Linked DNA regions of Coturnix japonica. The protein of the gene in region 2 binds, or shares a complex with, the protein of the main gene of each other region. Links are inferred from orthologs where the notes say so. Each region holds a gene or a part of one and is shown on either strand. Other genes may lie near its edges.

Region 1 (6,996 bases), on a different chromosome or scaffold from region 2:
CACACAGTGGTAGCGCCCTTCCTCCCCTCCTCCCCCCCGCTACAGTGGTACGGCCACAGGCAGCGCCATGATGGAGCCAGGCAGCGCTATGACGGATCAGACAGGGGACTCAGCCCCCCCGGCCCCAGCCACCCCTTCATTTGCTGAGCTGCTGCAGCTGGTGCAGAGGGGCCAGGCCCCAGCCGGGGTGCGGTACCCCAACGCCTCACCCACAAACGACAGCCCCACAGCCTCCCGGCTCCCGCGGCCACCCAAGCCCTGGGAGAGCCACCCAGGCCGGCCCTGAGCCACTGTGGCAGGCAGGAGATCCCACCACCCCCCTGGCTGCCCTTGGATCCCCCAGGAGGACGCAGCAAGGCTGGCTGCAGCCACAGCTTTAAATGCTTTTTTTTTTTTTAAAGAAACATATAAAGAACTCTTAACATGTATAAAAATCTTGGTGCCAACCAGACGAGGCTCATACCTGAGGAGAGGCCACAGCCACCGCTGGGACTTGGGGACACAGTCTGCCCCAGGGCTGAGAACCTGCCTGTGGCCGTGCACCTCTGCAACCCAAGAAGCGCTGGAGCCAAGGTAAGAGCCAGGCTGGAAAGCCATCTGCTTTCTTCTTTGGGTCAAAATATTGAAATAAAAAATAATGACAAAAAAAAAGTGCAATGCACCGTCACTCCCAGCATTCGCTTCATGCTGTTTGTGACCTATTCATCTTTACAGCTGCTGCCAGCTCTCAGCAAACAGAAAACTCACACCGCTTTCAAGCCGGCGGCCCGTAGGAACAGTGATCCTGCTTGATTTCCACACACGTTGTAATAGCAATCTCTTACAACGTGCAAACACCAATGGGACCGCATTTCTGCACCGTGCGGCACCACCCCATCACAACGCAAACATGAAATTAACCTTGTGAACTGCCTGACAAACCTGAGAACTTAACCCTTGAAGCCCATAAGGGGCAGGACTAAGGCGTGCTTCCTCTCTCTCACTGCAGGATTAGTGCTCCAGCGTGAGCCTTAGCTTGATGTTCATGGCTGCCAGCTCGGCCAAGAAGTACCAGAAGACATGGGGCACTGGGATGACCTGGATGGTATCCATACTGCCACACAGCATGCAGGAGTACCTCCTGTTGCTTGCCACGGAGGAAGGTGGTGGGCGCTGGAGCAGAGGAGATAACATGCTGCCACAGCTGGTGCAGACATAGGCTTCAGAGGCATCGGAGCAGCTGAAGAGGCGGTCGTGCAGCAGGAAGGAGGTGCCGTGAGCCAACAACGCATCACGCTCCATCTCACCGAAGCGAATCCCCCCTTCCACGTTCCTCCCCTTGATGGGCTGGTTGGTGACGGAATCCCGAGGGCCCGTTGTCCTCACCTGGAACTTGTCGGAGACCATGTGGCGCAGGCGCTGGTAGTACACGACCCCCACAAAGATGTCTGCCTCCAGCTCCACGCCGCTGATTCCGCTGTACATCTTCTCTGTCCCAAAGAAGTTATAGCCCGCGCTCACCAAAGTCTCACCAAAGTACTTCAAGGCTGAGTTCTTCTCCGTGAAGGTGAAGGGAGTGGCATCGTAGTAGGCACCGTGCAGCGCTGCTGACTTCCCCGCCATGCTCTCAATTAACATCCCGATGGTCATACGTGAGGGGAACCCGTGGGGGTTGAAGAGGATGTCTGGAACCATCCCGTTCTCTGTAAACGGCATGTCTTCGACGGGCCACAGCTGGCTCAGGATGCCCTTCTGCCCATGGCGGCTGGCAAATTTATCTCCAACAGTTGGGTTTCGAGGAACTCTGACGGTGATGCAGGCCTTCTTGAATTTCCCAGTGCCACGGTCATTACTGCACAGCTTGATGTTGTCTACAATGCCGACCTCTTTATTCCTGTGTAGGTGGAAAAACATTGACAGCAAAGGTATCAGATGCGCTCGTCACTTTGAGCTAGGAAACGAAGCAAAGACACCAAACCACTTTTAAGTCTAATAAAATCTGGGGATCACGTTTTTTTGAAGAATATCATTCAGGGAAATCAGAGGGCGTAAGAATTGGAGCACAGCAGCCAAACAAAGGTATCACCCAAGTGACATTTGTTTGCTGCTTCTAATGCCAATGGCACAGCTGCAAATTCCACGTGATGAGGTAATGTGTCACTTGTGAGAATAAAGTACAAATCATTGAAACCTGGTTCATCAGTACCTCATCTCATCAGACATGCCAGTTGTTTTGCTTCAAGGCAGCATTTTCCTGTGCAATAAATTAGCGTTGTCCTCATGGGACGCTAGCATAAATGAACAGGTTCAGGGCAAAGCTCAGAGAGGAAAGCTCAGGAGCAGAGAGCAAAGGCACAGTGAGAGCTGAGTGGGCCCTTTGCCAACAGGTGTTTGGGGCTACGCTGCTGTTTCAAGTGAATCCTCAGCAGATGTTTCACATGCTGGATGTCTGCTGCAGGCTGAACTCTGAGTCAAAGCCTCTGCTCTCAACCCCTTCCAAGCCAAGCTTAAGATCCAAGCAGTGTGTGCAGCACAGTTAGAACAGCAGGGAGAGTTGCCCCTTCAGGTTGCAGGGTCTCTGGGGAAACTGGGGGCAGGAGGCAACATTGAGAGCAAGGAACCTCTCCATAGGAACCTAAATGAATACCTCATATAGAACCGTAATGAACAAGCGCTGTAGAGTTCAGAGGTAAAATGGGTGTACGGGTAAGGAACCTGAACTAAGGTGAGGCTGGCATAAAAGAGCTGGCAAACAGGAATACGGAGTAGGGAGCCAGAACAGGATCCACAAGGGAAGGAGCATAAGGCTGAGCTGACAGCAAGTTCTGGCAGTCCTCACTGCCACGTACTCAATCTTTCTGCTCTGCTCACAACCAGTTATCTCTCCAATGCAGTTTGAATGCACTCATTGTATAGTATTAATAGATAGCTTTCCCAATAAAAACTGGTTATTCTGTTAACCAAGCACTTCATAAGCTAATTTTCTCTCTAAGCATGAATAACAGTACTATCCTCACTCTACAAATGCTGCAGACAGGGCATGATGTTGTATTGACAACAGCTTCAGGCAAGAGACTGGCAAGTCTCTGGGGACCAAGCACCCAATTCAGTTAACATAATACTGCAGAAAACGACAGAGACGGACAGACGGGCAGCACTGGGGAGACAGCAAAACATTTCTGTAAGTTCTCTCCTTTTACCACTCCCAGACTTATTTCCTAGGATAAGTCAGATGCTGCAGCTCTTGAGCGTACACTGACTCCAAGCCACACAACATGCATCAATGTCATGCTCCATAAACACACAGACACCTTAACTGCTATGTGAGAGGAAAAGGGAACACCTAGAAGAGCATCTCATCAGGTTCCACTGCTACTGACTACTCAATATTTTGGGACAGAAGGAACAAGCTGAACTTACTGGTAGTACACAGTGAAGGTCTCCCCTGTGTTGAGATTCATATAGCTGTAGAATGGGTCCCCAGGCTGCAGGACGGAGCCAACAAAAGGCAGTCCATCAGCATCCAACTTCTCCTTTACATTTGGGTCCCCAGGCCTGATACCAAATACTAAATTATCACCTCCCCTGTTGCCTTTAAGGGAAAGGTCAATGCTCTCCATCTTGATAACACTTCCATAAGCAAACCCTCTCTCCCAGGAAGATTTGTTCACAATCTAAGAGAAAGAAAAAAAATGCCGTTAAGAACTTGTTAGTAACTTCAAAGAAAGCATTTCCATTCTGATCTGATGCACACCTTTTAACAACACCATCCTACGTTAAAAAAAACCCCAAACCTCCCAGCCAATAATCACTCCAACAGGCTCAGGTCTCTAACAATCTCATTTTTTTCAATCAATGCTGGAAGCCCACAGCCTTGCACTAGGGAGCTCTGCTCTACTCTCACTACCTTGAGCATTACTGCAGAAGGTGCATAACAGCATGTGTCAACCCTAATGGAACTGACTAGCAAAAGCAGAAAATGGGCTCTTCTCAACTGCATACCACATTTCTTCACAACTGCCCGCGCCAAATTCCTTTGCAGAACAGTATAATCCCTTCTTTTGGTGGCTTACCATTGCATCTTCCATGTCATAGCCACTGTAGGAGATGACAGCCACAACTGAATTGGTACCAACTGGGTAGCTGTCTATACCGTAATAGTCGTACATTCTGGGCCTCACCAGAGGGCTCTGAGGGGTATGGAGGAGGTACAACTTGTTATCTGAGCGGTCCTTGTAGTTATACACTGGAAACCCCATGGTTTGCTTTCCTATAAAGAAAGAAAGTTGTATTTACGTAAGATCAATTCACAGTTAAACAGTGTTCTGTCCTCCAGGCATGTTATTAAGGACAAGGCTGGAAATACCTAAAATGAGTTATCACTTGCTTGTCAACTAATTGAAACTCCATCTACATACCACATCCCAATTGCCGGCAGACAACCAAGTTAATCAAATCACTGGCAGAGAAAAAAACAAGAACTGCTTCCATTGTGCCATTTTAATATCCTGCAACAAATGCCCAGTAGCTGCTCTCTCAAAAGCTGCAGTCACAGTGATAGTGCAGCCACTGAGAACAGGTGCAAAGAAACCTCCACCACTTCAGAGCATTTACCCTGGCTGCTTGTGAGAAGCAGGTCAACCTCTGCCAGCTGGGGGATGAGAGAACTCCTGCCAGCACAGTTGTTAATACTGACAGCCCCAAGCAGCTGGTGCAGTGCCTCACACTAACCTGTGTGATCAACAACCTCAAATTTAAGAAAAAGCCTACAAAAGAACCAAAAAAAAACCCACAAACAACTTGACAAAGACTTAAGGCACTGTGAGCACTACAATTTAGAACTGCCCACTGGAATGCTGTCTGGATGATAAACTTGACTTCTTTAACAGTCACTTATTTCATGGCAATCAACTTTAGAGCTGTAAGAACTGCTGGGAAGAGTTGCCATGTGGCAGCGTGGGGGTGCACACACGAGATTCTCTCCCCACCCCCTTTCCTTGCCTGAAGACTTGCAGCTGTAGGCACTACAGTACGTACCCATCTGGCACTGGTACATGTTTCGTGGACTTTGGTTGTGATCAGAGAAGGGGATGAGGTTGGCCACCACACTCAGAATGCTGTGAGGGAAGAGCTCCTGGTGAGTGGTGACTCCAGGCACAACGTCTGACTCCATGGTGGCCACGTTCATGAAGACCTGCAAGAATCACACATAGGACACGTTGGAGAAGCAAGACAAAGCTGCCCCTGGTGACTTCTCATTTCAGTTTTAGCTGTGGTTGCTGACTGTACCTCAGTGTGCAGGCAAGTAAAACATCAGACAACTACTGAACTACTCTACCACAATCACAGACAACTGCAAGGAAAGCAGGTCTGAAAGTATGAAACTGCGATACGCATCATAGTTCCTCTCTCTCATTTTAATTGTTCCAAGTTATCAAGTTTCCAGGCAAGTCACTACTTGGCTGCTTACTGGTAATCTGCAGAATGTGATATAAAAAGCGATGAGACAGCGATCATCCACCTAAAGAAACATTCACTATGTTAATAGTGAAAGCAGACTTCACTACTTGAAAAAGATTTCTCCAGCCTACCTCTAAGAAAAGTACCAAAAACTCATTAGCTAGAAGTGAGAAAACCCTTCGGCCACCTATTCCAGCTCTTCAGCACAAGCTACCTACGTCTCATTCTCAGCTCCTTTGAGGAACACTATGCAATATACCGCTTCTATGCAGGATACTGCTGTAACAGGCAGCGCTTTATAACTGAAATATGCAAACCTACCTGTTCCAGAGTACCAATCCATTCCTTCCTTCCATACTGCAAGTTTTTGACAGGCCGCACCATTCGGCAAGGGGTAGTGAAGATGAACAACCCAGGATACAGACTGGGTTTTCCTGTCATTGGGATAAGGACCACTTCGGCCCGTGCAGGAAATCTCTTCTCTTGTGTTATCTGTTTGTGTAAAGGAACACTGATTTAGGAATACAAACCAATATTGTTTTAGTTAAGCTGCATCCTACAGGCTAGGTTCACACCCACAATGGAACTACCAAGCATGGATCCATCCATGGATGTAGCTATTAATACAAAATGGTGAAGAGCAAATTTAGAAGGTATTTCTAGTAATATCTCCACCAAGATTACTTCTACCATGCTGAAAAAATAAGTTCTCACAACAGTGTCAACATCATAAACCAGGAGACCAAACTTAGAATAAATACAAGAAAAAACAAAAAGCCTAATACTAACATGCAGAATAAGATAAATTATCAGGTCAGACTTGAAAGGCAAACAGAAGTTAGGCTTCTTTAGAACTCTGGTGTCTTTTGGTTTATTTCTGGCCACTGCATATGGAGCACATTTAGGTAAGTCACATTTTAAAGAAGACAACCTTGAATCGCCGGAGGGCTTCTGCAACCTGAGGAGCCAGGTCCCATTCGACCCAGCCCACCACTGCACCATCCAGCACCACGCGGTAGCACTCAGCGTACGGCTTGCTTGGGGTCGCATCAATGGGGACGACACCTGTGACAAGATGGGGCAGGGGAGGGAACAGCCAAAAAAGCAGACAAATGCACGTTATTTCTGCAGGAAGCCTCAATCCACATAAAACAGCTTTATGAGCCATCAGAAAAAATTCAGAACATCTGGACAGGGCAAAGTGGTAGAGGAGACTGGATGGAAAACATAAAATGTGCACAAGTGAGAATGCCATTTCCCATCCAGCCCCAGCACTCTTCTGGATGAAACAAAACTCCCATCACTGTGCTAATCACTGGAGGAGCTGCAGTTTAATTCAAGTTACTAGAACATTTTCCACATATGGGTTTGTAGGGCAGAAAGGTAAAAATGAAGACTGCTTCATTAGATAACTGAGCAAGTAAACTGTACCTAGAGCACATAACATAGGTGGAAGGTCTGTCACAGGAACCATCTCTGTCACTATTTCACACACAGCTGTCATGTGGTTCATCAGACCGCAGGGCTCTCCATCTGGGGTGTCCACAGGGCACAGGA
Region 2 (7,463 bases):
ATAAATCCTGATATACAAACTTCAGAGAAAACATACTGTAGACCTATAGGGAAAAAAAGCAACTCACTCTTGAAGAAAATATAAAGTATAGACTTAAAGACACTTCATTTTAACAACACTTTGTACTCACCAATTTTAAGCTACAGATGTAAAATATGAAATATTGTACATGACAAGAAGCATGGGTTGGTAAAATGAGCTTGTCAAAAACAGAAACAAGATCCCGATACAAATCTTTTGTCTTGTTGATATCAAGCTTGCCTACACAACAACAAACAGAAAACAAAAATGAGTCACGTCAGTTTCATTCCTGCCCTCATGTTGTGAAAAAGGCATTTTATCTTCCTGAATCAGGAAGAAACAAGCAAAGCTACTGTCAAGCTAACTTGTAAGCTTACAAAGCGCCTAAAATAAAATGCTTGTAGTGAGACCTTCCAGAACTTCAATTATTCCTCATATACTTCTTTTTACATTAGATTATATCTGTGAATGTAAGCATGTGCAATACTGACAGGCTGCAAACGTGCTTCTTCAGAAGAGGCAAAAGAAAATACTAAAAAATAAAATTGCCTCACTAATGTGATAAAACAATTTTCTAAACATTCTGTTTTAAATAAGTCTAATATTCAGCCCCTTAATAAATGCTAGTGTAAGATTTGTGTTCCTAATAGATACATAAATAAAATCAGGTTTTTCCTTTAATACAAGTCCTTTACCACTTCCAACTGAGTGAAAAGCCTGGTTCGTCTAATCTACTACTTATGTTTACGATATTCAAAGGATCCACAATTCTAATACTTAAAACAGCAAAGCAAACAATAAAATACTGTGGTTAATTAGAAAGTTTTTCTGACCCCCCTAAGAAGTTTAATAGCACAGTGAAAAAAGAAAACTATTTATTCTTACTCCCAACACATTACACTTTGGGTACAGTGCCATATTTATGCAGTCAAAATGTCTCCAACTAAAGATCAGGCTGTTAATGACACCTTCAGCTTCAGTCAAAGCCCAGAAGGCACTAATAGCAGAACTCTACAACTAAAGGATGAAGACTCACTTTCTGCTGCTGCAATAGAGAATTCTTCGTATGTTTTTCCTATTTGTTAGAAAAACAAATTTATTGTTCCTGTATTCTTACCATCCACGTGGCAAACATCTTTAATATAGGCAAACAGGATGGTCATCAAAATATCCAGTCGCTCTGCAAGTGGATGGGCCATTCTCTCATTACTGGGAGAGACAACTTCGTTTTTTTTTCTTTCATCATCTTCCTCCTGGTAGGTAAGATAGTGCATATGAAGGGTGCGTAACCACTATGCCATAACTTAATTATAATTATATAGAGAAAAATGAAACAAAGTATCTATGTTCATGGTGAAGTTTTTGTTGCTGTTTTTTAAAGCAACACCAGTACAGCTCAGTCTAAGCAACATTTTTGTAAACTAAGTCAATTACAACTAATTCTTTAATAAGCTTTATATACAGCTGCCTGAGTTTTTTTCATAAGGAAACTGATCTACCATACATATTCTGGATATTTATATGATTAATTTTGGCATGGGGAGAATACATTAATCATTTGTCAGCTACTCAGGCTTGAAAATCTGTTTCATTTTTCCTGTTTACAGATCAGCTACAACAAAGCAATAATGTATTATTACAGTTAAGTTTCAGAGGATTTCAAAGGTGAAAATTCCACTAAAAAACTTAGCAAACAAAATAAACAACCATGTCAAAAAGTCCCTCCTCTGTAGACTTTTCCTCACTGTTATTGGCAGCTTCTTCAGCATCTTCAATATCTTGCTGGGGAGTACTAACCTACAAACAAGAAATTAAGTTTTATAAGACCATAACAGCAATATGAAACATTCCTGTTCAGTATCACAGAGTGGTTTGGGTTGGAAGGGAACTTTAATATCAACTAGTTCCAAGCCCCTTGCTATAGGCAGGGACACCTCCTCTAGACCAGCTTGCTAAAAGCCCCCTCCAGCTTCTCTCCCATCCCACAAGGAGGACAGTGGGTGCAAGCAAACTGCTGTGTGGTGCTTAGCCTGCCACGTTAAACCACAACAGCCCTATTCTGATGATCGTGAGTTCTACTGGAACATAATTTTTGTTAAGCTTAATACTGAAGAGTATTTTAACGTAATTCTTCTTTGAAAGACTATACAGAGCAAACTCACATCCAACTTTAGCAGCTTTTCAACAATAAGTTCCAGAATCTGAAGCCTCAGTGTTGGAAGGTACACTGTAACTCGTAGTAGGTTATGAACATAACATTCCTATAACACAAAATTAAGAGATATCTATAAGAATGTTAACTGAAAGTCTAGGATGTCAAGGATTTTTACAAAATATATTTCCTAACTTGTCATTTAAAGAGACAGATACAGGTGAAAAGTACCTTTTTCCAAGTATCTCCAGCAGAATAAGCATAAGTCATCAATTTCCATATGATTTTTTTTTTGCATAAACCTTCCCAAGAACATGAAAACAACAAGCATATTACTCAAAAATTCTAGAATCAGGTCTAGCAGCACTGTTTGAAGCGAGGCCAAGAGATCTTCATTTCTGGTTACTATAATAAACAGACAATTCTAAGTACCACAGCTAAACATCCTTAGAGTTTTTCTGATTACAATTCAAACAGATTAGAACCAACAAGTTCTGTAAGTGAACATGCACTCCCACACATATACAAACGCAAATGGCAAAAGTGCAACTTTATAGAGTAGAAGTGTCAAGCTAATACATACAAGCAGCTAAAAAGACACATTTAAGTGCACCACAGTCTCTTTGTAAGTATGTAATATAATGCAACCCTTAATTACACAAACACACACAATTTTTCAACAGGCTATATTGCTCAGCGCATATAACAGACAGCACCAGTTTAATGACAATCTATAAGCTGAAAATATTCAGCAACAATGCACGGTCAACATGTCAATTATGCTCCACTTGAGTCCCACCCTGAAAAAATTTCTCCACAATGCGCATCTCAGTGAAATACTTAAAATAAATAAATAGATAAATAAATCCCTTAACATCCTTTGAGCAACATCTACCTCATTTTGCAGATACAGATTTGATGCCCAAAGCTATTTGGATTTAAAAAAAAAAAAAAAAAAAAATCTAGCAAGAAGTGCCAAGTATTCAGTGCAGGGAGGGAAGAAGTAGTTCTTGAGAGGTTCAAAACAGCTCCATCTGACTTTAATGAGTAGAGCAAGCAAATGACAACATATCAAGTTGTAAAGAGTGAAAATAAAGACCATACAGGAACAGTAACTTTTCAAAGTCTCCAGCTTGCTTTCCACCACACAGGAGCATCGTAACAGACATGTAATAAAACTACACAATAACCTATCCTATAGATTTCATCTAAATCATCCATTGCTTTCTGTCTGCCTATCAAATTCCTTGTTCTTCCAAAGAATACTTTCTAATTTTTACACTGAGACAGGTATTCCACATTATCCTTACTACACAACTCTGAGACTTATTATCAAAGAAGGCCATCTTGTGCACTGATTAAGAAAACAATCACGTGGAAAAAGACATGCAATTATCTCATTAAACAGCTGCATAATGCTTATGCACAGGGAACTTAAGCATGTTTGGACAACCTTTCATGATACAGGCACACCTGGACATATGTTTCCATAGTTAAAAAATTACAAGAGTTTTAAACGACACATTCAAAAATCTGCATAAAATACCACCAAATCAATCATTATACGGTAGAGTGTTTTCCTATATTAAGAAGTGAGTGAACAAATAGATGTAATATTCACAGTTCTTACCAGAGTTCTTTCTGATTTATTAATGAAAGGAAATTTTTCCACAAGTATTGGCATAAGAAACTGCAGTGTTCTGCATTAAGGGGGAAAAAAAAAATACAGTTTGTTATCATGAGAACAAGCTCCAGCACTACAAAAACAGACTGGAATCAGTTTATTCTTACTTCACAGTAATGTTATTTTAAGATAACTGATTACATAACATTTGTTCTGTTACTGCAGAGACAACAGGCAGTAAACTTTTACTGTGGATTTGTTAAAAGCTACCTCAAGTCAGCTGCTATAAGCATGACTTTCCTTGTGTTTCCTATTGCTATTAACAGGATTGTCAGCTGCTGATGTCTATTGGCATTTTACGATTGGATATAACATCCTATCAGTTACTGGGCATTAGGAAGAGTCATTCAATTAAATTAAGTATTGCATTTCCAATATGGAGAAGAAAAAAATATATATATTTTTATATATATTTTTATATATATACCTTATATATATATATATATATGTTCTTGAGCTTTATATCCAAGCTTTATTGTCATAAGAAAAGAGCAGAAGAAACCAAGGAATTAAATACTTACGAAGGAACATATCTTGCGACAGTCTGCAATGCTCTGTGGCATGTATCAAAATTTTCAGAAAGGCCTAGAGAACGAAGAAGGTGCTATTATCCATTTGGTTGCAGAAAACTAACTCAGGAATCAATTAAAACAGTTCAAGTCAGTTAAACATTTTAAAGATCCCCAAGGAGACGGCATTCACTGGGTTTTGTTGTCAGGGTTTTTTTGGTTTTTTTTTTTTGCATTGTTTTTTGTTTTTAAGTTGGACTGCCCAACTACTAAAGTAACTATGAAAATTAACTCCAAGTACAATTCATGTTATGCTAACAAATTCTTAATTTGCCACCACCACCAAAGCCAGGTATTGTTGCCATACTACTTACGCTGAATGCCTAACTCGGAAACTGAAAATTTACACCCCCCAAAAAAAAAAAAATTTTAGAAAATATCATAGTATCATAGTCTCGTGCGGGTTGGAAGGGACCTTAGAGATCATCGAGTCCAACCCCCGGGATTCGAGCCTCTGTGTAGCAGAGCAGCACTTCTACCTCTTGTGCCACAGGGGGGATTAGAACTCCGAGCCCCAGTGTTGCAAGGTGGCATTCCTACCACTGCACCACCGGGGCACACTATACATTAAAATCAAGTGAGAAACTAGATAAAAATAAAAAATTATGCCTTATTTAGCAAGAGTTAAAACAAGAACACAAATAATTAGGCTTCTTTAACAATAATGAGATGAGCCACCTGAATTCTGGGAAATGTTTTTAAACTGGAAGAGAGCAAGATTTGGACTAGCTATTATTAGGAAGAAATGCTTTACTGTAAGGGTGGAGAGACACTGGAACAGGTTGCCCAGAGAGACTGTGGGTGCCCCCTACCTGGAAGCATTCAAGGCCAAGCTGGATGGAGCTTTGAACAAGCTGGTCAAGAGGGAGGTGTCCCTGCCTACAGCAGGGAGGTTGAAATGAGATGATCTTAAAGGTCCCTCCCAACCCAAACCATTCTGTGATTCTATGATTTTTTTTTCCCCTTGAATCCAAACAGTGCCACAAGCAAACACCAGAGGAATAGGTATGTCAACCCAAGCTGAAATTCAATACAGCATTCAAGATACAAAGATGCAGATAGTTAATTATCCTGTAAGAATTCAATCTGTCTAATCAATAAACACATAGTTTTCATTATTTATATCAATTGTATTTGAGTTTACCACAAGCAGACAACAAAAAGCCTCAAGAATTTCCCAAACAGACCAGTTTTATTGAAGTAAGTAAAATGAAAACAGACAACTCCTCCCTATCCTTTGGCTTTGACACTATCTAGGACTAAGAATGCTCTCCTGAACATTCAGCTTGAATCTTAAAAATACTGCACCAGTAAATACCAGTATTTTGCAAGTAATGAGGATTAACTCATAACACCATTGATTCAAGTATAAAAAAATTCCTGACTTTGTAATTTAAGGATGTACAGCTACTAAAGTTTTATATCAACTCCTGCAAAGTAATTTAGCAAAAATAAACCAACATAGTAAAAGCATTACAAAAGCATTCGTAAGCCATATTTCCTTCCATACTCACTTTCTTCATCATCATCAGAATCTGAAATGTCCACATCATCCTCTCTGATGGTTATTCGAGCTACCAAAAATGAGATCATTATTGGAATACTGTGCAAATTTATGAGGCAACAATTCCAATGCTAAATGGAAGTGCACTGACAACAGTCTTCAGTGTGACTAAAACATCAAAATTATCCACAAGACTTTCTGAAATAACTGTTTCAATCAGAAAACCAGGAGGTTCTTAAGAACATCTCATACGATCACCATTAGAGACTCTTTTTTTCAGTTGTAACATTACACAGTTCTTCCCCCTCCCAAACATCTTAAATAAACAGCCTTTAGAGTTTTAGTTACCCATTAGAATAGATCTTCTGAAGTCTAGGTACATAAAATGGTTTGTACTGCAATCCAGTCATTAAAGTTAAAGTAATCAATAGAAAATATACAATTAGATTGTGATGTATAATTCTGCATACACAACTCATATACAAAATAATTATTTTGAAATAATTAAGAATATTAAGAGGGAAAAAAAAAACTTACAAGGAACAAACTGGGATACAATCATGCTCAAGCATGGCCTAAGATGGACAGTTTGTGCTGACACCAGATTGCCAAGAAAACCCAGATATTCTTCCACTACCTCTCGGCTTCTTCTCAACCATGGCAGCTTCTGAAAGTAAGTAAAGACCAAGGTGTCAAACAGATGTTTTGAGTACTAAACTCTTAACCTTTCCATATAATAAATCAGTATTTACCAGCAAAACGCTGACCAGTTGCTCGAAGTCCTTGGTCAGATATGTGACAGAAGTTCGAAATTCATGCAGCCAGTTAATGATCTGGGCATCCTTAATATAAGCAGGAATAATATACAGGAATAATATATGTATTTTAAAAAAAATAAAATAAAAAAATCACAAATCTATTTTAATAAAAATATGACCAAAAACAATAGAATTTTTTTGAGTAGCAAAACCCACAGAATCACAAGTCAAAGATTAAGACTGTAAATTAAAATTATTTTCATACAAGCACAGAAGAAATTTCTTGAACTAAACTTGCACCCTCACCAATGAAAATTCTTTAACGCAAGAATACACACACACAGGCCGACCAACAGCCTGCATGGGAAGTTTATGTAACAAGCTGAGCAAGGTATGCAAACCTCATTCACAAACAATGTATCTGTTTTACTTAGAATCTTACTTTCCTTTTGGTTTTGCTCTTAGTTTAAGCAGAGGAAAATTCAAGTATTCAAGTAAGAAATATCTGGAAGCAGAACCAATTATACGGAGAAATTTTTACACTAATTTTGCTTGCTCTCCCCACAAGATCTGCTAAAAAAACGTGTATTTTACAGAATACTCTATTTAGAAGGAAAAGAAAATCTAGATAACATTATGCTTCCTGCAGCACCCTTCTAACAACTGTGTGGTTTAACTAAAACACTACAAAAAGGAAAAAAGAAATAGAAAAACACAGTAGCTATCAATAGCTGTAAGGAACAGCCCTGAAATTACTACTTGTAACAACTAGATA
Region 3 (7,278 bases), on a different chromosome or scaffold from region 2:
TCAAGAAACTGTTCTACAGAGTCTGGAAGGTAAGGTACAGAACTGAAAGAATAAAGCTTCTAATTAACTAAAGGCCCAAACTTAATAGATAAGTTATGCTCTCCACACCATATTCTCATTCTGAACTTCGTCACCACTTCTTGATTTCATCAATGTTTCAGTGAACACCACCATAGAAGTCCTGATCTTCATTTTTTTTTTTATTGGACAGTGACTATTTTCACTCAAGACCTCCTTCCTCCTCTTTTCTATGCTTCATCACTCACAAGGTCCTTAAGGATCACCTCACCCTCAGTATTTGCTAAGACATTGCTTAGACTGTAGCTCAGTGAGCAAACTTTCTGTAGCCTCAGGAGCCTGCTGTATATTTTTGAAATTGTGGTTTCAAGGTTATAAACAGAGTCTGTAGTATTGTGACTGCTCAACAAGGCCAAATAAAATTGAACTCAAACCTGGGATAAGGCAAGTTATGCAATGTATGTCTCTAAATGAGGAATATCAAACCATTTTAAATGTTTTTCTCCCATAGAACTTCAAAGACCACAGTCTTTCCTAGAAGAAAGAAACAGCATTCTTCCAGGGAGTAGACCAGCTGCATCTTATCTCATTAGGGCTAGAACTAGGTGTTTTTTCTAGTGTACACAGTGTGAAAGAACATTTAGTATTACCCTTTCCTAGTAGAACTCCAGCCACCAGAGCTTTTTCATACGAAAGGATTTCATTTTCCTGCCAATTCCTCTTTGCTAAGTAGCGGCTAAAATGGAAGGCTGGCCACCAGTCCTTTCTGGAGTTCCACTCCTTCTTAATCCAGTTAAGATGCTTCTCAGAACTGCAAAAAGGTAAAACAAGAAAAACTGAGATGAAATAGTAAAGAGGAGGCACTGAGTTTTATAATCAGCTTGGTGTGCTGGCAGACTTTGACACTACACTGCAGGCTGAACTATTTAAGCAGCAATTTTCTTTTTAAAAGAAAAACTTTGGATAAATCTATGCATAATTAAACACTACTGTATTTCATATACTTACCTTACTCCATTAACTCAGTGGAGTTAACTCGGCAGTGGAGACCTTACAGTATTTTACAATTGAAAACAGGGAAGTGATATTCCTATAAAGTGATTAAGATGCCCTGTATATTTCAAGGTACTCTGAAGTTGTGTTCTCAAAAGCAAAACTACAGGCAAAGTTGAAGTATTGTACCATTTTTCCTAACTATATGCAACAACACTCTCAGTTTTAATCCATTAACTTTCGGGCCTTCTGAGTATGTAGAGGCAGCAATAAAACAGCAAAATGGGTCAAGCGGTACTAAATTGATTCATTGTAAGTATACAAGGCTTAAAAGAAAAATTAAAACCTCTACTTTTGGGGAAAAAAAAACCCCAGACATTAGAGACCTTCTGAGCATGGATTGCCTGGAGATGGAGCTCCTGAAAACAGAGTCCTCCTCCCAACACACAAGCAAGTATTTATCAGTCCCCAGGCACTCTGACTTGGCTTTTAAGAACACATTGTATTCTGAAGAAGTTACCACCAAAGTTATCAAAGAAGAACACGACACAACAGCACAACGCACCACATCCCTTTTGCAGCACACTCATCCTCAAATCTGCTGCAACCAATATATGTTTAATAGCAGAAGACCAAACAATGTTGTTGGGTTTTTTTTCCTCCTGGAAGGAGAACAGTGACAGGCAGTAAATGTTATCCAAACATTTGAACAGCATTTTCTGCATAAACACCTCACCTGGTAATTCAGCTAATGATAATACTGGAAATTTAAGAATTTCTCTCAGTAATAATTTCTTCTTTCCTGCCACTGAAAGCATGCTGCAGCCAAGCACAGCCACAGATCTCAGTACAGGCCAGCCCACTCTTCCACTTGCCATCATGAAAGACAAAGACTACAGAAGAGTCACTTTGTCAACTGCCCGCAGGAGGAGATTTGACACATACATTCCTCTTTTAGCACCTTACATCAGTTACACTCACATTACAATTTGTTTCACCTGTCTCGCCAAACAACTCCATGCTTTTACACTTTCCTTCCAGCCAGCATAATCCAAGACTGCAAAAATAACTTCTAGCCCCAGTCGACGTCTTTTTTGTTTCTCTGGAAAGAAATTAGGCTGATAAATGAATCAGTTGGATTAATACGAACTTACTAGTAAGCAACAGGGAAAACATTCTCCAAACTGCCTTCCCACATACCGCTGCTTTCCCTATTACTGAGGGCTCCCCCCACTGCTTTCTGCCTCTTCCAAGAGAGAATGCCAAGGAAGTGTCCATGGGTCTAGAGCACACTTCACTGCAGAGACCCTCCTTAAATGCTGCTGACTCAAAGAGGCACACAAGACCACTCACTTAACCCACACTGCCTTCCTTACAACAGTTGCTGCTGTTGTAATCAGTGCTTCCAGCCGGTGCTGTTGTTCAACATGTTCTTCCTGTGGGAAGAGAACACAGCGCCCTGGAACATTTCAAGTGCTGAGATATCAAAACAAAGAAATTGGACTGATATGAATAAAACAGGTATTTCACAACAGCAGCCAATATACCAAAGGCGTTCTTAAAAGTGACCTACTACAGCACGTAAAAGCTGGAAATCTTTACCAGTATAAATTACTACTTCAAAAATCAGATTGTCTTCAAGAGCTACAGGAATTTCACAAGCATATCATGTGTGAACAGAAAAAGGGAGGTTTCAGCCAAAAGAATTTTTATTTTTCACAAAGAGGAACAACAGAAGAGGATAAATTTGATTCCAAGACATTCCATCCATCTGCTGACTTGCTAGAACATACCAGGTTGCAAGAAGATGCCCATTTTGGAAAGCAATTGATCAGCATGGAAAAGCAGTCTCCAAAACTGTCTCCAAAAAACTCACTTAAGATGTTGTTCTTTTGATAAATAGCAAACCAATGCATAAATCCATCTCAGCTCCTCCAGAAAAGAGGTACCATAATGGAAATACTGAGTTTAGCTTTTAGAACGGTGTACCTCAGAAATAGTGAAATGAGCATTCAGACTAGAGTACCTCCAAACAAATCATTTTTGAGGTCCTGACTGTGCATTACAACCTACTGCTTGGTCAGCCTTTAAACTTCAACATGCATTTGTTTACACAGCCTGTAAATACCTACTTAACTCATCTGCACTGAAGGTTCCTGTGATCAGAAAGTCACATTGGGATTTTTCTTTTAATAAGCACAACTACTTCAGTGCAAATTAGAACAATTTCATAATATTCTAGATTAACATAAAGGAAAAGAACAAATATATTTAAAGACTTACTTGATTTTTGAAGCATAGTATTAAAATCTATCATTAGTTCGTGAGAGGGAACAATATCATGCAAGCTCTGGGAAAAAAAAAAACAACACCCAAAACATACATTAAAATGATGTAAAAGCTTCTGAAGGCTTCTACCAAATCCAAAGCAGCAATGTCTGCAGAGTTCTTTAGTATTGTAGGAAAACTGTGCAATCAGGTACCCAATTGTCTTGATACAAATAATGACGACTGAAAGCTATTCTGCACATCTGTAACACTGCTTGGTGATAATACAGATGAAATGCCCTCATGACTACTGAAAAACCCTGCAACAACTGCAACGTTTCCAGCAGCAGCCTATATCCAGTGTCTTCTTTTCAGATAGCAACCCCTAGCCCAGTTCCAGCTCCCATCTGCTCTGTGCATTCGCAGGATGTATCAGACCAGTTTTCAGATTTGCCACTATCTTATAAAATTAAGCCTATAAAATTAATGTGAAAAATAAATAACACACTGTGAAGGTGAAACTTTACATATAACGGCCACGATCCAAGTCTAAACTCAATGAAGCTGTTTTAAAACCATTTACCCAAACAAAAGCATTTTAGTGCCATCAAGTGGCAAAAGAGGTTCAAAAACATTATTGGAAAAGTTATCAGTGCGCAAGGGCAACAAAAGGGGGAAGCTAAAGCAGCTACACAAAGGGCAATGATGCAGCAGGGCTTTATCTAACAGTCAGTAGAAGTAAACTTCTACTGAACCTTAAGTTAACTGCTTATTGAGAACAATGAAACTAACTGCGAGGTGGGATTGGTGTGTGAAAAAAAGCAAGCACCTCATCATTTATTCAACTCTGTAAAGATCAAACTACAATGGAAATTAATGCATGTTTACCTACATGTACTTCCTGAGCCATGGAAAATTGATCTGAGCTTGTTTACTGACCTTACGGTGCATCAATTACACATGTAGAACAAAGACAGTAAGGGATCCTATTTGCTCCACCCATTAGAACACCCCAACCCTTTGCTTCCCATTAAAAAAATACAATAAGGTAAATACTACAACAGGAGACAACTAAACCAACAGACCACTATGCAAAATGAACAACCACAGACTGCATTTATATGTTATATATACCTTGAGAGCAGATATGAGTGATTTCTTTGGTTCACCGTGTCTCTTTAGGAACTGATAGAAGTAAACATGAGCGTTGGGATTTGTGGGAAACTTTGCATTGTAAGCATAATCCGTTAATACTTCACGAGCTTCTTGGTGGTCTCCGTAGAATTCCATCAGCTAAGAAGTTAAGCCTGTCATTAGTTCACTTCACATTAGCAATTAAACACTTACAGTTCATTCTAGGCTGCTACAGAACTACCCAACAGCACCATTTGTATCTAGCAGCATAGCAAACTGGATGTGAGTTATAATGAAGTATTTTAATTTTACTGGTTACTCTTAACATAATTAACTAAAAATTCACACACAGAAGCAGCTACAGAGGAAAAATCACATTAGCACTTCCCTGGTTGTTAAAGAATCACCATCATTCCTCAATGGAAAAAAAAAAAAATGGAAGCAGACTGCCACGTCTTTGAAGAGAACTCGGAGAACTTGGCAGCTGTCAGCATCTAGTAAAATTCCATAAGAAACACTCTGACTTCTTTGAGTGTATCTGCACTTAGAGTGAACCTTTCCAATTCTAAGATTCACTTCTTAGTTAAAATTTGTGAGCAGATATTTAGAAAAAAAAAAAAAAACCACCAAAAAAACAGAGGGACCGCATGTTTGGCTTCCAAGATTTAGTACCACCAGAAAAACATCGTCCTGCCAAAAAGAGAACTTGCTTTCAGGAATTTAAACAAAGCAGCTGTGCTCCAATTTCTCTGCTAGCACCAGGAAAACAGAATGTGCAAGTTGGTTGCCTCTTTTCCTTGGCAGCTCACAGATAAAGCCCTTTTTATACACTACGCAGGCCCTGCAGTCCTACAGACATGCCTAAATCAAATCCAGAGGTTGTTTTTAAACTACTTGTCATCCACACACACAGCTGAACTACAGACTTGTATCTAAATGAAAATTAGACAGGCAAACACAAAAGGAAGAGACCTATAAAATACACTCTTACATCCACATAGGCTTTCACAAAGAGATCCCAGATTCCAGGTATTTTAATGATCTCCTTTAAGCTCACTGCTGCCTTCCGAAAGCGACTGTTCATTTCCTGTTCAACAGACAAGTCTTCAAATCCATCCTTCCCTATGAAAACATGAAAGAATGCCACAGAGTTAGCTTTCCTAGTTAAGAACTATCTTGAAGAAGTGGTGTACCTACAAGGTGATTACATTTTGCAAAGGGCTCCAGTCAATACTTTTTAAGAAAAAAAGGCATGTTAGTACTCTATTTTGGCACCAGAACTGTTGCAGGATTATCTGTATACCATCAATACCTTCAGCTTTTGAAGGCTAGTACTTCCTTTTGGTGCATTCATATGTAAATGCAGACAGAAGAGTAGCTTATATGGAAATATGACTGCAGCAAACAGCAATGCCTGCAAGAATAAGAAGTTTACAGCTCAATACAAAAGCAGTATTTGGACTTACCATGCTCTAACAGTATGTTCTTCTGATTGGACCAGATATAGTAGTCCAGCAGCCCCCTGTAAGCCTGAATCAGCTTCATTTCTTTATCCTGAACAGCTGTTTTTTCTCCAAACCTCCAACTCTCTGCCAGGGACAGGTTTTGGTAGGCTTCATCTATCAGTCCATTACATAGGAGATGAAAGGCATGCTCTAAACAAACCTGCAATTCAAGCAGTCCATACCACAGTGTTTCACATCATAAATAGAAAGAATCTCAATAATATAGTAAACACCTGCATGGAAGTGAAAGGGAAGAGACACTCATTACTGACATAAAAAAATAAATAAATAAAAAAGCAAACATGCAAAATATTTCTATTCGAAGCAGGTTTTACAGGTATTGTTTTATTCAAACAGTGTATTCATAGAGAGCTTTGACAATAAAAACCAAGTGTGGGAGAAGGCGAGTGTCAATAGGAGACTGAAGTGTGCACCAAGAATCATAGAATCATACCCAGGTTGGAAAAAACCTTGAAGATCATTAAGTCCAACTGCAGCCTAACCACAGTACCCTAACTCTAAAATCCCTCTGCTAAATCATATCCCTGAGCACCACATCCAAACAGCTCTTAAACACATCCAGGGATGGAGATTCAACCACCTCCCTTGGGGAGCCTATTCCAGTAAGAACTTAAGTATTTTTTTCCAGTTTGAAGATGGTGAAGAAAGATTATTAAAGGGTTCTTGAAATCTGTGTGGGTGAGAACCATCAATAAGGTAGTAAACGTTCAGCTGTAATTATTATCAAGGCAGCTGAAAGCACATGGCTCAAAACCTTGCTTACCGTTAGTAAACGCTGAATCTATTTTAGAAGAGCTAGAAGTGACCTGAATTTAGGGTTACACCGAGTTTCAATTTGCTATGCAACTGCCAAAAACCTGAAAAAGGAATGCCCTACTACACGATCATATTGATTAGGCATTGGATGAGAGTCCAAACTTTTAGTTAGTAAACTCTTGTATGGAACTAGTGTTGGAGACCTTGAACAAATACAATAGATTAAAAGATAGAAAAATCTGGAATCAAAAACAGTCAAGGAAATCAAAACAATATAAGCTTGAATAAGTTACCATAGGAAAAGAACTGGGGTTCTGAATGATACAGGTGTTCACAGAATAAGCTTTACTATTTTATATACAAATTAGCTACTTGAAAAGCAAGTGAAGTTTAACTACAACTGTTTGACCAGGAGCACAGGGGTCAAATTAAGGACTGAACACAAGACTTCACAGGTCTTAACATGTAATTAGATGTTAATGGGGAATGTATGAAAATGAATCTAACAGTTTTAAGAGCAATTAAAGAATCTAAGAGTTACTGCAAGCAGATAAAAATGTATCGACCAAATAAGACGCGGCTA
Region 4 (8,135 bases), on a different chromosome or scaffold from region 2:
TGGAAGTGTTAGGTTCCTTTTAGGCATCAGGAAACAGACAAGCGAGGAAGAACAGACTAGTCATATAGTAAGGACATATCAAGCTTGCTAGAGAAGAAGGAACAAAAGACATGCCTGTCCCTTCAATTTCTCTAATAGTTTTTTCCAATTCTGTAGTCTTCAAATTGGCCCACAAGTCAACAGCAAACTTTCTGGCAGTTTACAGAACAAAGAATTTCATGTTCATAGAGCCAAACTAAATAAGGGCAGCATTTGGACATTTGATTGAGAATAATATATGACACACCTAAGCTTAGAAAGCATTCTAAAATGGAGGAGGAAAGAATGCTGTTTACTGGAAAGCAATGTGAATGGCTTCTGTACCACAGATGAGTTCTAGAATGGAGCTACCCAAGCTTGATTCTAACTTACATTCCTTGGTAATGCACCCTGTACAAACCTGCCTCTAACAAAATATTTTCTACCCTTATTTGTCACTGTCCATCCTGTTAACCGAACAGATAAAGGTGAAGCTTTGGTAATACAGATCTACTTTATCAGATGTTTCATTAGAAATCATACTTGCAATAAAACTGACTTTATCTGAAGTCTCTAGTCTTAGAGCTCCCAGATCTAATGCCATCGATACCTTAGTTCAATCCTTTTTGTCAAATGGGGTTAACTTACCCTATTTGTGAGGCAATTGAAGATCCTCCACAGCAAATATACTGAATTCAAAGCACTATTTAATCCCTTACCGACAGCCTAAAGTGAGACAGGGCACGAGTAGAAAAGAGAGGTACAAAAGAAACGTTAATAAGAAGTGGGACGACAGCTGAGAAAGCTTCCCCTCTGTCTATACATGCTTTCACTGCCACATCCACCTACCAGCAATGAGGATAACTGATGCTACCTAGGGAGCAGTGTCGGGGTGAGGGGGCTCTCTCAGTCACCTGGACTGCTGGACACGAACACACAGCTTCACCTCCTTATCTAGCACACTGCTGGGCTGAAGAAACCGACCATAGAGGCCCCCACCACCGAGAACAGCCTGAGGAGGTCGGCGGGGCTGCCAAAGGAGATGAAAGGCGAGGCTGCCCTCCCTCCCGGCCAGCTGGCTGGGAAAGGCGGGGATCCTGCCGCCTCCACAGCTCGCCGCCCAGCTTCAGGGCCCGTTGCCCTTAGTGAGAAGCCGCTTCGCTTCTCTCCACCCACACCGGCTTCTCACGTGCGGCTGCAGCCGCTTTCCCTCGCTTGGGTTTGAACTGCCCGCCTTTACCAACCGCTCCGTTCTGCCACCCCAGTAGCGCAGCCCTAAGGCGAGAGCAGGGCGGGGGACGGCCTGAGGAGCGCTGCCTCCAAGGATGCGGACGGCACCATCTGGGCTCCGTGCTCTCATCGTACTTTATACTCCAGCTCGGCGGCTCCCGCCGCTCCCAGCCCTCCATAAAGCGCCCCGGTGCGGCCCCTCTGCCCGTCCCGTTCTGTCTCTCTCAGGAGCCGGGCTGAGGCGTTCCCGCTGCTCACAGCTTCTCAGAGTCGGGCGGGAGGCACCTTCAGCGGGTAGCCCGAGCCCTCACAGGTGGAACGTTGTCTGCACCAAGAGCTTAAAATCTGAGATGTAAGGGTGCTGATTAATTCATTTTAATTAGCTTATTTGTACCCGACAGCTCAGGAGCTAGATAATCATACAGAACTTCTGTTTTTTCTTTCATGGTTTACGCTTACGGCTCCACCAGAAACACTGTGAGATAAAACATGCTTTAAATCGTTGGGAGTAACTCCGAATGTAACGCCTCCACCCAGGGCAGAAAGATGGAGGTTCTCCGTGGTAACTAAGGCTGAGCAGGGCGGGCTCCATCCCCCCCAGAGCGGGGAAACGGGGCGTCTCGGTGTACGGGTAGTGCGACCGGAGGGTAACTGTAACGGGTAAAAACATTAGGGTTTTTGCGCTGGTTCCTCGTTCCATTTTAGAATGCGAATTAAAGAGTTTAGAAATGGAATCCAGGGTTTCCCAAAGTGCTTTCTGTAGCAGTTTCACGCCAGTCGGAAGAATTTCTCTTCAGGACCGGCGTTTATCAGCCCGTCGGAACGGGGCTATACCCCGAGGGAGGCGGCGTGAGGCACAGAAGTAATGGACGTTTAAAAAGACTCCATCCCACCGGGGAGCAGTTAAATGATGGATATAATCAAGATAATGAATGATTTTCTCGGGACAATCGATATATATTTTTTTCTCATGGGGTATAATTAGTAAGTAGGTTTTAAAGCATCACCTCGATGCTTTAATCATTTCGTCAAACCCGTTTTAAAATACAAAACGAGTGCGGGGAAAGATTATCGGCTTTACTTTAATTTCAGTGATTAGTTACTTGTGAGGTGTTAATTACTTTGTGTCCATCACCGGAGGAAGGGATCGTTCCGTTTTGGTTGGTTGATTTTTGCTCCCGGCAGCAGCTCCCACCTCGGAGGACCCGGGGCAGCGAACATCACTGCCGTGCACGTCCCGTTATTCTTACATGTGTTTTATTCCGGCACTAAGAAGTTACACTTAACTTTATTTTCGCACAGCAGCAAGACAAAGCCGATGAGCCGCCTAGAAATCCTTAGCACGTTGTTATTACTTCTAGCTTTCCCCAGGAGACGGTTGTTATTCGGCGTTCGGAAAGACGCATTTCCTCACATCAGGGAGATGTTATCTACAGAGCAGTATTTGTTATACGTTCTTACGTACCTGAGGACGTGCCATTACTCACACAGGGACGCCTAAGGGGCACCCAGCACTCGCCCAGCTGTAGGGCTGAGCCGGTGACTGACAGCACCGCGGCTTGCCAGTTTGTTTCAATGCGGGAATACATGGCACAGACCGCAGGGTACCGAGATTTAGTTACCAGCGCCAGGCTCAGCTCACTAGCGCTTCCAACTCTCACTCCCCCAAGGCTCCATCAGCCGCTATCCGCTGTAAACCCGACACAGCGCCTTAAGGACGGCGATGCAGACCCGCCCCCTCCGGCTTTGCGTAGTGACGCCATCATTCGGCGCCGAGGGGACGGCGAGGAGTGTGGAGGTTGGTGCCGCTTTCGGCTTATCCCTGCCGGGTTGGTGGTGGTGGTAGATTCGGGGTGAGGGGGGAGTGGGGAAAGGGTCGACCAAGCCCCTGGGGGTCAGTGGGGAGGAGGCGTGGCTGGCGCTGAACCGAGGCGGGCTGGGGGGGGATCATTGAATCATAGGCTCATAGAATGAGCTGGGTTGGAAGGGACCTCAAGGATCATGTAGTTCCAACCCCCCTGCCTGGCAGGGCCACCAAACATACACATTTACTAGATCAGGTTGCCCAGGGCCCCGTCCAACCTGGCCTTGAACACCTCCAAGGATGGGGCATCCACAACCTCCATGGGCAGCCTGTTCTAGGACCTCACTGGTCTCCTAGTGAAGATCTTCCCCCTAATATCCAACCTAAGTCTACCCTCTTTCAGCTTAAATCCATTTCCCCTTGTCCTGGTATTATCAAGAAGGGGAGAAAAAATGCTTTCTTTCTCTGTATGGTCACAACCTTAAAACGTAGGTCTGCAGTAATACCTACATGTTAGGTGGGGGTTGCTAAAAAATGAATTGTTTGTGGAGTAGTTGTCTGATATTGTGAAGGAATGTTGGTGAACCTGAAGGCAAAAGGTTAGCGTGCCAGGACAAACAGAAGTCCTTTCCAATGTGTATCATCTTATGTAGCATATATTAAACAGAGCTTGAATATTTTTGTATTTATTTTAAAAGAACTTTTTCAATTTCTGTCAACTTTAGATGGAGATATTGAAATATTTGTGTAAGACAACAACAAAAAACATGTATTTTATTTGTTGTTTTTGCTTAGAACATGGATTCACAGAAGGACGTTCAGCCCCCAAAGCAGCAGCCAATGATTTACATTTGTGGAGGTAAAGAAAAGACATTAGTGGTATTCAATGCTCTAATAATGAGGAATGTGCAGTCATAGTGCCACAGAGTACAGAAATCTACATAACTGGGTTGTGGATCCTGATGATGCATTAAGCTTTATGCACTGATGCTCCCATATGCATGGATTACTTGTGGTTATTGATGTGGAAGTCGTTCACTAGAACCTCTGTTGCTGTGTGGGGGTCCTGCATCTCTAGAGGATGATAGCAGAACTTTTATATATTGCATCTTGGAGACAAAGTTTTTTTGGAAATAGTGTTGTCATTCAACTTTCACTAATGCACAGTTGTCAGATTTTCTCTACCTAAACATAAGTTAATAAAGTGAAAATTGGAGCTTTTGAGTAACCACTTTAAAAGCCTCAGAAAAATTTAGGCTTAAGAAAATAAACTTGGTGGCTCGGAGGGGCTGAGAGGAAGGTTTCATTAGTGGAGTGTGGAATGGTACAGTAATGTTTGGATACTTTTTAGCAATCTAAGTTTGCCAATTCTTTTTTTTTTTTTTTTCCTTAACAGTATCTTAATATAATTCAGTTACTTATTAAAATTCACTGCAATTATTTTCTGTTATGCTTTGTTTGCTAGTAAAAGGAATTAGACCATTGTTACATCTGAAAGCTATCTGTGCTTTAGATATGCTGCTTTTGTTCACTCATTGCTATTCTCCTTCTCCATCATATCAGAATGTCATACAGAAAATGAAATAAAGGCAAGAGATCCGATCAGATGCCGAGAGTGTGGGTACAGAATAATGTACAAGAAAAGAACAAAAAGATGTATCCTTTTACAAAGGCAGTCGAATGCATTTGGGAAGCTGTGGGGCAAGCTGTGTAAGAAAATTGACTTCAGATTTATGCATTCCCTCTTTTTGTTCTCCTTGACCCCTTTCCTCCCCTGATCTTTCCTTGAACTGCAACGCATTTTTCTTTAACTGCACAATTCCAGTGGTGGTTTTTGATGCCCGGTGATTTGACCTGAAGATACATCAATTTTATACTTCAGTTTAATATTTCTGGCAACTTTGCTCTGTAAATCCATTGGTGTATAAATGCATAGTTTAGTGGTTTAAGATATTAAAATATTAAACTTCACTGTGATACTACTTGCCATACCATCTCAATTCTGTCTATACTACTTTTAGAAATGGGTTTCTTCCTTAAACTTTAGTCAGAATGTGCAGCATTCTGTTAAATTCATTGGTATTATATTCATTTTTGAGTTAAGTGTTAACCTTGTTTTCACAGCTCACACCTAAGCCTTACCTGTGTTTCAGCTCTTCAGTGTTTTTTGGACTCCTGTGAACTGCATAAGATAATCTTGGTTTGAATAAATCCCAGTGAAGACATATTGAAAGTCACGCAAAATCAGGTCTGAAATTTGGATTTGAACTCGACAGGACCCAAATCAGGATAAAAATAAATGTGTAAATAGAGATTCTCAGGCTGTTTTGTGACCTTGCTTGTACTCACTAAAATAAGTAGGTCTACAGTATAAAGAAACCTTGGATAAGGTAAAACTGAAATAACGTCATTTTGCTTTTCGGATGATTTCTCATGAGTCTGTATTAAGAAGTGGTTGCCGTTTTGTACTGATAAGCCCAAACTTTTTGCATCCATTTTCCTGTTCAGAACATTTATATTCAGAATATTTAATACTAAAATACCCATAGCGCCAATTTGTCTTAAAAAACACTGCTGCTTTGTGTGTGGTGCTAATTTAGCCTGATTAAATGCTTGCAAATCCAAATTTTGTTTCCAGTGCTGATGAGGCTGTTGAAAGACAAACATGTCATTTCACTGTTATCTGTACAGTATGATACCACTATTAGGGGGTGTGCTGGCTGCTGCAGAAAGCAACAGGGATGGGTTTTAGTGGGCCCAAGGTTGTGGGCAGTGGTGAGGCTCAGGGCACTTGGAAGAGCGTCGGACTGGATTTAGACTGGATGAAATACTACACTGAAAGCTGATGTTTTATGGAAGCTCAAACTCAACGGCTGTATTTCTGAAGGGAATACCCTCTCTGAAGTCAAATCATTTTTAAGAACCATTTTATGGAAATTATATTTAATAAAATATAAATTAAAGCAGTGTTATATGTTCCTAATAGTCAGAACGTTGGAGAGCTGCAGCTCGAGCGACCCCGCGCTGACAGGGCCGGCCGAGCCCCTCAGCTATTCACTCACTACGCGGCGCTCCTTCGCCATCGCTCCGCTGTGCATGCGCGGGCAAGGCGGGCGTCCACGGCGGAGGTGAAGGCTGTTAGGAGCGCGGTAGGTGGGTGTCAGGGCCGTCGTGTAACTCCGTGTCCTCCACAGAGCCGGCGGGGCTCTGCGGCTCCTCGCAAGGGGTTGGCTGTGTGGTTTCTTGCGGCTTCTCCGTCTATTACCTCCCCACAGCGCCGCCGGCCGCCATGTTGTACATAGCAACGGCTGCTATGTTGCCATTGCTGCCTCTCGGTAGATCTCCGTGAAGAAGAAATCGTGGCATCAGGTCATCAGGCAGTAGTTCTGCTGCAATTAGTACCTTGTAGCATTAAAACACGGCTATTCCTTAAATTAGCATTGCTCTAGCCCCCAGAGATTTATTTTTCTTTTAATGTTTAGTGATGAGTGATGCGTCAATAATGTATTTGCTGGACCAAGGAACTACTAAAACATATCAAATACCTATTGGTCATCTCGACTACAAGTTCATTGAAAAATGTACGGATGTTCCATACCTGGAAAAGATTCTCAAGGTGCTAAGGTAAACGTTATCTTTAATGAACTTCATTACTAATTGTATTCCCATTCTATCTCTCTTGAACCTCTTTGTAGTTTTCGTATTTAAAACCTTGAAATTAAGATGCACTGTGAAAGTAATTGTGGTAAAAGCGTCCAGATGATTAAATGAAGAGTTAGAAATTCAAGTCCACAGTGGATCTGTGTCTGTATGTCTGCTGGAAAATGGTTAACTGAGATTTTCTGATCAAAATCAAGAGGTGATAGATTTCAGTTAGAACAGGAAAATAACACTCTATAGTCACTGCATACAGACAAGTATGGATGTTTGTGGGGAATGCAGCGTAATTTAGTTCCCCTGTGTAACTTGCTTATGTGTTCATTTTAAAGGTCTGGTGAAGAGGGATGTTATCCTGACCTGATGTTGTTTTGTGAAAAGCGTATCGAGCATTTAGCTCCAGGGAGCAGAGTTCTCAGAAAGGATAAGCCAGCAGCCACAGCAGCTGATTTTACAGCTGAGGAATGGGAAACAATTAATGGTGAACTGATGGTACTGTATGACTCTAGTTCATTGTGGTCAGTAATGTAACCTCTTTGTTTGGTCAGTCTTGACTGATTGTTCAACCTCATTTTGTGCTTAAGTAGAACACGATTATTTGATTAAATGAGGAAATGATAGGAGGGTTCTGTTGTGGTTTTCTTTGTTAATATTTATTGAGATAATGCTAATTACTCTTTAATACCCATCATAACTCTACAGAACATATTTGTATATTATTATTCATTCGAAAAAGCTCAAAACAATTGCAAACTGCGTATAGAGAATGCACTTTTCACAATCTTTTCATGAAAGAGCAGATCATTTTTTCCATACTGTTCAGTATGGAACATACTGAAGATCTCTTTGCAACTGAAAATATTGAAGAAGTCTAAGTGGGCATAAGCATTTTAGATTATATTATTTTAGCCAAAAAACCAGAATCTCTAGTAGTGTCATTCCTTAGTAGCACCCCTTGCCTGTGATAAAAAATCCAGATGTATATATAACAGAAACACAGAATCACAGAACTGTAGGGGCTAGAAGGGAACCATCAGAGATCATCAGGTCCAGCCCACATGCCAAAGCTACAAGCTGCAAAGGTAGGTGTTCAGACAGGACTTGAATATCTCCAGAGGAGGAGAATCCACAACCTCCCTGGGCAGCCTGTTCCTGTGCTCCATCAGCCTCACTGTGAAGAATTTGTTTTGCATGTTGGTGTAGAACTTTTATGCTCCAGTTTGTGGCTATCTGCCCTTGTCCTGTTCCCACAGACCACTGGAAAGAGGTTGGCCATGTCCCTTTGACTCCCACACTTAAGATATTTATGAACATTAGTAAGATCAACTCTGAGTCTTCTTTTCTCAAGGCTGAACAGACACAGGCTGCTCAGCCTTTCCTCATTGGGGAAATCCTCCAGGCCAGTTATCATCTTTGTAGCCCTCTG

The links.
Region 1: RRN3 (region 2) and POLR1B share a complex: the UniProt entries of both Homo sapiens proteins name them as parts of the pol I pre-initiation complex. The link is inferred for Coturnix japonica from reciprocal best matches to the Homo sapiens genes RRN3 and POLR1B.
Region 3: RRN3 (region 2) and TAF1A share a complex: the UniProt entries of both Homo sapiens proteins name them as parts of the pol I pre-initiation complex. The link is inferred for Coturnix japonica from reciprocal best matches to the Homo sapiens genes RRN3 and TAF1A.
Region 4: RRN3 (region 2) and POLR2K share a complex: the UniProt entries of both Homo sapiens proteins name them as parts of the pol I pre-initiation complex. The link is inferred for Coturnix japonica from reciprocal best matches to the Homo sapiens genes RRN3 and POLR2K.

What each region holds. Positions count from the first base shown.
Region 1 is NC_029518.1:13,951,988-13,958,983, reverse strand, and holds the end of POLR1B (DNA-directed RNA polymerase I subunit RPA2), read right to left. Parts: coding exon 6,871-6,996; intron 6,505-6,870; coding exon 6,371-6,504; intron 5,932-6,370; coding exon 5,761-5,931; intron 5,174-5,760; coding exon 5,017-5,173; intron 4,250-5,016; coding exon 4,053-4,249; intron 3,654-4,052; coding exon 3,400-3,653; intron 1,874-3,399; coding exon 991-1,873; 3' UTR 575-990; downstream 1-574. UniProt on the Homo sapiens protein: Catalytic core component of RNA polymerase I (Pol I), a DNA-dependent RNA polymerase which synthesizes ribosomal RNA precursors using the four ribonucleoside triphosphates as substrates.
Region 2 is NC_029529.1:38,741-46,203, forward strand, and holds part of RRN3 (RNA polymerase I-specific transcription initiation factor RRN3), read right to left. Parts: intron 6,773-7,463; coding exon 6,683-6,772; intron 6,598-6,682; coding exon 6,468-6,597; intron 6,001-6,467; coding exon 5,941-6,000; intron 4,443-5,940; coding exon 4,379-4,442; intron 3,874-4,378; coding exon 3,804-3,873; intron 2,283-3,803; coding exon 2,184-2,282; intron 1,819-2,183; coding exon 1,729-1,818; intron 1,275-1,728; coding exon 1,139-1,274; intron 262-1,138; coding exon 131-261; intron 1-130. UniProt on the Homo sapiens protein: Required for efficient transcription initiation by RNA polymerase I (Pol I). Required for the formation of the competent pre-initiation complex (PIC).
Region 3 is NC_029518.1:15,720,730-15,728,007, reverse strand, and holds part of TAF1A (TATA box-binding protein-associated factor RNA polymerase I subunit A), read right to left. Parts: intron 6,079-7,278; coding exon 5,880-6,078; intron 5,536-5,879; coding exon 5,405-5,535; intron 4,573-5,404; coding exon 4,414-4,572; intron 3,362-4,413; coding exon 3,295-3,361; intron 2,114-3,294; coding exon 1,993-2,113; intron 830-1,992; coding exon 669-829; intron 1-668. UniProt on the Homo sapiens protein: Component of the transcription factor SL1/TIF-IB complex, which is involved in the assembly of the PIC (pre-initiation complex) during RNA polymerase I-dependent transcription.
Region 4 is NC_029517.1:116,285,088-116,293,222, forward strand, and holds POLR2K (DNA-directed RNA polymerases I, II, and III subunit RPABC4), read left to right. Parts: upstream 1-2,951; 5' UTR 2,952-2,971; coding exon 2,972-3,046; exon of another isoform or gene 3,047-3,077; intron 3,078-3,847; coding exon 3,848-3,911; intron 3,912-4,615; coding exon 4,616-4,708; intron 4,709-4,877; coding exon 4,878-4,900; 3' UTR 4,901-5,366; downstream 5,367-8,135. Other genes in the region: SPAG1 (sperm-associated antigen 1), read left to right, coding at 6,537-6,676, 7,042-7,201. UniProt on the Homo sapiens protein: DNA-dependent RNA polymerase catalyzes the transcription of DNA into RNA using the four ribonucleoside triphosphates as substrates.